Linked DNA regions of Caenorhabditis elegans. The protein of the gene in region 2 interacts with the protein of the main gene of each other region in a pairwise test. Each region holds a gene or a part of one and is shown on either strand. Other genes may lie near its edges.

What was found. The genes of interacting proteins can lie anywhere in the genome.
Region 1: the proteins of lpin-1 (region 2) and spin-1 interact in a two-hybrid assay, tested with the Caenorhabditis elegans proteins (one large-scale study listed by BioGRID).

Annotation. Positions count from the first base shown.
Region 1 is NC_003283.11:12,113,076-12,116,831, forward strand, and holds the start of spin-1 (Major facilitator superfamily (MFS) profile domain-containing protein), read left to right. Parts: upstream 1-1,917; 5' UTR 1,918-1,925; coding exon 1,926-2,157; intron 2,158-2,299; exon of another isoform or gene 2,300-2,478; intron 2,479-2,561; coding exon 2,562-2,764; intron 2,765-2,815; coding exon 2,816-3,186; intron 3,187-3,233; coding exon 3,234-3,450; intron 3,451-3,497; coding exon 3,498-3,641; intron 3,642-3,689; coding exon 3,690-3,755; intron 3,756-3,756.
Region 2 is NC_003283.11:13,651,988-13,655,743, reverse strand, and holds the start of lpin-1 (LNS2/PITP domain-containing protein), read left to right. Parts: upstream 1-1,614; 5' UTR 1,615-1,742; coding exon 1,743-1,815; intron 1,816-1,865; coding exon 1,866-2,274; intron 2,275-2,325; coding exon 2,326-3,102; intron 3,103-3,209; coding exon 3,210-3,419; intron 3,420-3,756.

The sequences.
Region 1 (3,756 bases), 1.5 Mb from region 2:
TATTAATCATTGAAATTTTCAAATGCGTATATTTAAAAAAACAGAACGGTATGGATTCTCATGATAAGACAGTTCCTTAATATCTCGTAGCAAAAAAATCGACCCATCTCTTTGCCCCTTGCTTCATTTCTGCCGCTTTCTTCGTGCCAGGAAGGTAGGCATTCTCGTGAACCGACGGTCTGAGTTTGAGTGTTTTCCTCTTAAAATGTTCGATTATTATAGGTCGCCAGACATAAATATTATTTGTTAATATTTCATGGTGTCGAAACCACAATCTTTTTTCTTTCTACAGGTGGTTTAATATTCGTTTCCTTTGTAAATTTTCCCATCGGCAGGAATTGGCATAACCTGATTTTTTACAGTAGAAACACATATCTAGAAGATTAAGATCTTCAATTGTCCATCTCGTTTTAAACTGTCATTTCTCCGGTTCTTTTTGGTTTTTGGTGGCCTTTTACCGGTTTTGTTACGTTTTCCCGAAATGATATAAATTTTTGAGCTTGTCACTTAATTTATCAAGCGGCGACCAAAGACAAATACACACCGCAGAAGAAAAGTTTGTAAAGAGAAATGGAAGTTGACTATATGTACATATATAAAATGGAATGAATAGTCGCATCACATTGACGGTGAAAGTACATGCGGTGATGCCTTCGAGGACATACGGACACACTTTCCTTCTCCAATTTCATCGATTAATTTGTATTGTTATATTCTGAATTCCAGGTTTTCAAGACGAACATTGTGAATCATTTTCATCACATTGTTCTGGTACAAATAAAATGTATTTCCAAGTTTTCCCGCACATTTACATTTTTGCTTCACTACGTGTTTAGCACGTTATGCGATAAGAGGAGAAGTGGCTGTAAAATGGTTTCGCACTCCCTTTTTTCTCTCCCACAATCATTGCACGGTTTCTATGACCTTTTCGAACTACATTCCTTCTTTTTTCATTTGGAGGTTTGATACTGATATAGTTTGTAGGGTACCCGCTTATTGTAACTCTAACTGTTATATCCATTGTCATTGATTCATTTATCTGGGGGGTATTCCCTTCTATTTGGCGAAGTCTACATTTCTCGTAAACTGTACAAAATAACGTTTAAAAGTTCTTTGAATACTGAAAATAATAAAACGGTTTGAACAATCCAACTTATTTTCCAATTTTCAAAAACTAGCCGATCATTTTTGTGAAATAAAACTATTTTCTGCTTAGTATCGAATAAAACATCTTAACGGTAAAAATGAGTTTTTTAAAACACTTCTTTTAAACCTTTTTTGGATTTATTTGAATTTTGGCTTTGAAATAGTCTTTATTCCGGAAATTTCATATAATCTCAAGGGCAAATACATTTTGAACCGTGTTCAAAGTTATTTAAAAATGCATTTCGTTTGAATCACTGAGATTTCCAAAAATTCAATGAGTCATAATACATGGAGCAACAAATCTATAAGAATGTCCACTTGCTTTTGTTGTTCTTTTGTTTTCAAACGTTTTGGATATAGGCTGTTATTTTGGCCGACAACAACTTCAGAATGTATTTTATGTTTGAGTTTTAAATGTGTTACTGAAAACAAATAAAATGACAGATTAATATATCTCTTGGTAAAAATTAATTAATTTTGTTACTACTTTCTGTTCCTGAAAAGCCTGAAAAATCAGACCATTTTTTGCAGTGTCTTTGTTAATGATAAAAACCGACATGCACACTGACCATCAAACCGATTATTATGAATTAATAATTTAATCCGACAGTTTCCTGTTTCTGTTCATTTCATCTCACGAATGCTTCAATTTTCATTTTTTTTTTCCGTGTCTCTTAATACGTTTAATTTATTACGAGTTCAAGTAACAACGTTTCAATGAACTCTCATTTAGTTTGAAAATTAAAATATTTAAGTTCTAACATTTTGAAGAGTGAACGATGGTGAGAAACAAAGTGGCACCAGTTGAAGATGGAGCCAATATTCAAAGAAACTTCGAGCCTCCGCCACCATATACAACTCCAACGGATTCACCTGAAGACAAGATTCGATCAAATTCAACTGCAACAACCGCATCTCAACCAGAATTTCAAGGATGTTGGACTATTGTTGTAGTTGCCATTTTATTCATCATCAATCTTCTCAATTATATGGATCGGTATACGATTGCAGGTTAGTTGACAGTAACTATTTTACCTCCTTGGTACAATATTCAAAACACAATTCATGTAACCATGTGACAGTTTTCCGTGCAATAAAATTTAGTAGAGCCTCCAAAACTATAAACAACAAAAGGTAGAAAGATGAAAATGGCCGGAAAACGACATGAGAGAGTATCTTGTTTGAACTTGTCATCATTAGAAGATAAGAATTTACGTAATGGGTGAGTACAATAACTATGGGACAAACATCATTTTTTGATCTAAACGGAGCATTAAAAAATATGTGCATGTCAAATTTGAATTAGTATGTGTGGAACTTTTCCTACTGCAATAATATAACGTTTTCAACAAAAAAAACATTAAAAACATTATTCGTAGAGGAAATTAGCATTTAAAAACCAATAAAATTTTTAGGAGTCCTTAATGATGTACAAACCTACTACAATATTAGTGATGCTTGGGCTGGACTGATTCAAACAACGTTCATGGTGTTCTTCATTATTTTCTCTCCAATTTGCGGTTTCCTAGGAGATCGTTACAATCGAAAATGGATTTTTGTTGTTGGAATTGCGATTTGGGTGTCTGCAGTGTTTGCTTCCACTTTTATTCCATCTAATGTGAGTTTTTGACTCTAATCATACTATTTCTTCAATCAACTTCATTTTCAGCAATTCTGGTTGTTCCTTTTATTCCGCGGAATTGTTGGAATCGGAGAAGCATCTTATGCAATTATCTCCCCAACTGTTATTGCTGATATGTTCACTGGAGTGCTCCGTTCCAGAATGCTTATGGTCTTCTACTTTGCGATTCCCTTTGGATGTGGTCTGGGATTTGTAGTTGGATCTGCTGTGGCTAGTTGGACAGGACATTGGCAATGGGGAGTACGAGTGACTGGAGTTCTCGGAATCGTTTGTCTCTTGCTTATTATCGTGTTTGTTAGAGAACCAGAACGTGGAAAAGCTGAACGTGAAAAGGGAGAAATTGCTGCATCTACAGAAGCAACAAGTTATTTGGATGATATGAAGGATTTGCTTTCAAAGTGAGTTTCTTTCAATTTTATTTAAAAAGCAACCTTTCATATTTCAGTGCAACATATGTGACAAGCAGTCTCGGTTATACTGCAACTGTTTTCATGGTCGGAACTCTCGCTTGGTGGGCTCCAATTACAATTCAATATGCAGATTCTGCTAGAAGGAACGGAACAATTACAGAAGATCAGAAAGCAAACATTAACTTGGTATTCGGTGCACTCACTTGTGTTGGTGGCGTTCTTGGTGTTGCTATTGGTACATTGGTTTCAAATGTAAATATTGTCGTTGAAGATTAGAAAAATATACATCTTTTTTTTAGATGTGGTCTCGTGGAGTTGGTCCTTTTAAGCACATTCAAACAGTTCGTGCAGATGCTCTTGTCTGTGCTATCGGAGCAGCAATTTGCATTCCAACACTCATTCTTGCTATTCAAAACATTGAGAGCAACATGAATTTTGCTTGGGTGTGTAAAATTTGGACTATGAAACATTTCAAATTCGCTTTTTTTTAGGGAATGTTATTTATTTGCATTGTCGCCAGTAGTTTTAACTGGGCTACAAATGTCGATCTGTTACTGG
Region 2 (3,756 bases):
TATGTTGTACTTAAATTGTGCGCGGGATGGGCGTCAAAAACGGAACACCCATTCACTCTCCCTGGCCACACAAACAAGTTCTATCCTCGGCCATTAACTATCATCTGTTCTTTGTGAATACTAATGCAACTGGATTGTACGAGAAAGAATGAAAAAGAGAGAGAGAAACAGACAAGTTAGTTGGTCATCCTTCTCTTCTTTTTTTCCTCCTCCTCCTCCTCCTCCTCCTTCTCCTCCTTCTTTTTCTACTTCTTTCCGATCGTTTGTACTTTTCATCGCCTCTCACTTCTCCTGAGTATTGCAAGTCTCTTGGTTTTTCTCTATTTTCTTTTCTACTCTCATTTGTTCTCTTTTTTCGTGGTGCCCTCTACTCTTTTTCTCTGCACCAATGTGGTGCACTCTCTCTCTTGCTGTTTCCCGCAATAGTGTGAGTGTGCAAGAAGGGTTTCACCCCCTTTTCTCAGCTTTCCAATTTTGGGTGCCCTGAAGTCGTATTTATCATGCTTATAGCATTTTTTGGCAGTTTTTTCCAACTTGAAAAGTTATTGTTGACTCTAAAATCTAGAAAAGAACGAAATGATGTTTTATGAGACGATCAAACACCTAACAGATTGTTTTTTTTTCCATATTTTTATGTTCATTCTAGTGTTTTCTCTAACGAGTTTAGTGCTTATGTTGCGAAATATTTATTTTGGGTGTTTTTTTTTAATTTCAAAGTATTCAGTTTTCCATTCCATTTGCTTTAAAAAAAACATTCGTCGAAAAATATAAATTGAAGTTCGAGTATCGTAAATGGGCATTTTGCATAAAAAATCAAAAAAAGTCTCAAATTCAGAAATACCGCAAAAGAAATCGAAAAAAATTGCGAAAGAATGAAAAATCCAACTTTTAAAAACCAAAATTTTCCTTTTTGGCTAAATTACATGAATTAGTTCGCTCCAAAAAAATTCGCGATTTTTTTCGTTTTTTTTTGTGTAATTGAGACTATTTTGGATATTTTTTGAAGAAAAAAGCCTATTCACACAAAAAGAGACATATATCCCGAATGTCTTTACTATTAAATGAATCAGCGCTGGCCTAGTTTTCACCCACTCAATATCACACCAATTTCGCAACCAAAGAACTTTGCCCTTTCTCGTCCGTTCACCGTTTGTCTCTCTATATCATCTGTGTTTTTCTATTGTTTAACGCTCTTTTTCTCTGCTGCTTCTCGATGCATAGAACTCAATATGTTTGCAATAAAATTCACTTTGTGCAATTTTCATTCAATGTAGACAGCATCTGTCCATCAAGAAAAATATGAGAAGTAGAGCCGGCAGAGCAAAAAGTGAACTTTTACCTCAAGAAATTCGAAAGTTTTTTGAAAATGAGCAGAATTTCGAGCAAACATCATTTTTTGAACATCCTCTGCCATTCAGTTGTTTTTTCAATGATTTTTCCGAGAAGAAACGTGATATTTCTCCGGTTTTTCGCTTTCTTTCTCTCTCTCTTAATCTTATCAGTTTTCTTCTCATCGGTGTGAAACACAGTACGAACTATGTTCTATGAACGAGAGAGGGCACTCCCCGTCATCGTTATCCGTACTGTTTCGTTGAAATAATTATTAATTTACAGATAGGTTCATCGGGTCACTATACGCACGCCTACTCCACGACTATCTTACTCCCATTTCTCAATCAAATAAACATCATATTATCTTTTAAAAGTGACATTCGGATGTGTTAATTGGCACAGGGACGCAAATGGATTACGCATATCGTGTGTTCAAAAATGTCAAATATTTTTACAATTCAATTAATCCTGCCACACTTTCAGGTTTGTATTCCGTGTCACTAGTTACTTTTTTATAATTTAAATTCTTTCAGGAGCAATCGATGTGGTTGTCGTAGAGCAACCAAATGGAGAATACAAATCAACACCATTCCATGTTCGTTTTGGAAAGTATGGAGTCTTCAGTTACAGTGATAAATATGTGGATATCGCTGTCAATGGTGTAGAAATCGATTTGAAAATGAAGTTGGCTGACAGTGGTGTCGCGTTTTTTGTTGAAGAGGCCGACGATCAAGTACCAGACTACCTTCTGACTTCTCCACTGCCCGAGCAAGAGACCCCACAGACTGCAGGACCTGCGGTGGACAAAGTGTTGGCAGAGAGTGCACGAAAGTTGGAAGAAACGCAGAATGAAAATGAAGATGTCGATATGAATGATATTGCGAAAAGCAGATCGTCAAGTCCAGACGGAGGACAAGGAAATGCGAGAGAGCCGAAACAAGAGTGAGTTGATATTAAATAGAAGTTTTGATTATTATATTAATTAAATTTCAGGCAATCACTGAGTCAAGTTCAAAGAAAGCAGACACTTCCATTCTCGTCATCTGTTTTCAGTGATCGTCGCTACCGATCACTCCCAGATCTTACAGTTCTCGCTGCTGAGACCGAGGTGGAGAGAACAGATATCAAGAAGAGTGACGGAAAGAGGACACGGAAGACTCCACGGCCATTTGTCCACTCTCATTCACAGTGCTCTCCAATGGAAAAGAAACATTTTCACAAGTCAAATGATGAGATTCTACGTAGTTTAAGACGGGAAACACACGATATGGATCGTCGGATTCCACTTCGAAAGAAGAGTCGTGTCACATTTAATCAACAAGCAACTCGTCCAATTGACATTAAAATTCAACAATATAATGATTCGGATTCGGAGTTAGATTCTTCTGTAAATTCATCACCATCCCCATCGTTGGTTGATCAAAGAGAGGCTGATCGAATTGCCGATGGTGCTCTTTCCGATTCGGAAGTTGATCGTCAACGGGATCGCAATGCCACACCAGAACCACACGATGTTACTGACTGGAAATGGGGAGAACTTCCGGAGACAAGAGAACAAAATAAAAGAAAAAAACAAGACGAGGATGCTGAAAAGTCGACATCACGATGGAGTAGCTGGTTCTGGAGATCATCGACATCGACTGCCGATGAAGAGCAGAAGGAAAAGGAGAAATTGGAACAAGAAGAGCAGGGAATTTCTCTCGACGAGCTTCTCAATTCTTCATCGAATCCAGTTGAAATTGAGAAATATCTTGGAAAACCGCCGAGTGTGTAAGTGATTTTAAAATTATTTATTTTGATAGACTCTAGTCATCGCATGTTTTGATATAAAATTTTATTTACATTATTGTTATTAGACGTAGCAATAGTAGTTTCAGAACTTCCATCGACAGTGGGCATGTTTCACGTGGTGTTTCCCAGCCATCGTCTCCAATTTCTAATCATGATGACTACACACCAACTACAACACCTCCAAATGATAAGACACCAACAAGAGAAAGTGTTCGATTTGGAGCTGGAAATGATATTCCAAGTTCGACATCTGCCACCAATGGAGTTCGTTCTCGTGCATCTTCCGATGAAATTTTGTGAGTAATTTTATTTTAGAACTTTTTTAAATTAAACCACGCATGTTTTTTTTTCAATTGCATTTCTTCACGTGGTGTCAGATTGTCCCATCTCTGCACACAAAAATGGCGGAAGAATAAGTTCGGTTTTTGTGACGTCACAGCGCATTGTGAATTTTTTTTTCAATTTAGACTTCGATTTTTGTGTCGACGCTAAAATTGAAACGCAGATCTGACGTCACGAAAATTCCTACATATTTTCCCGCGATTTTTGTGTGCAGTGGAGCTATGGGACAACCTGACACCACGTTTTTTTTTTACTTAAACTTCTAAAGATGAGAATTTTCGCCATATTTTA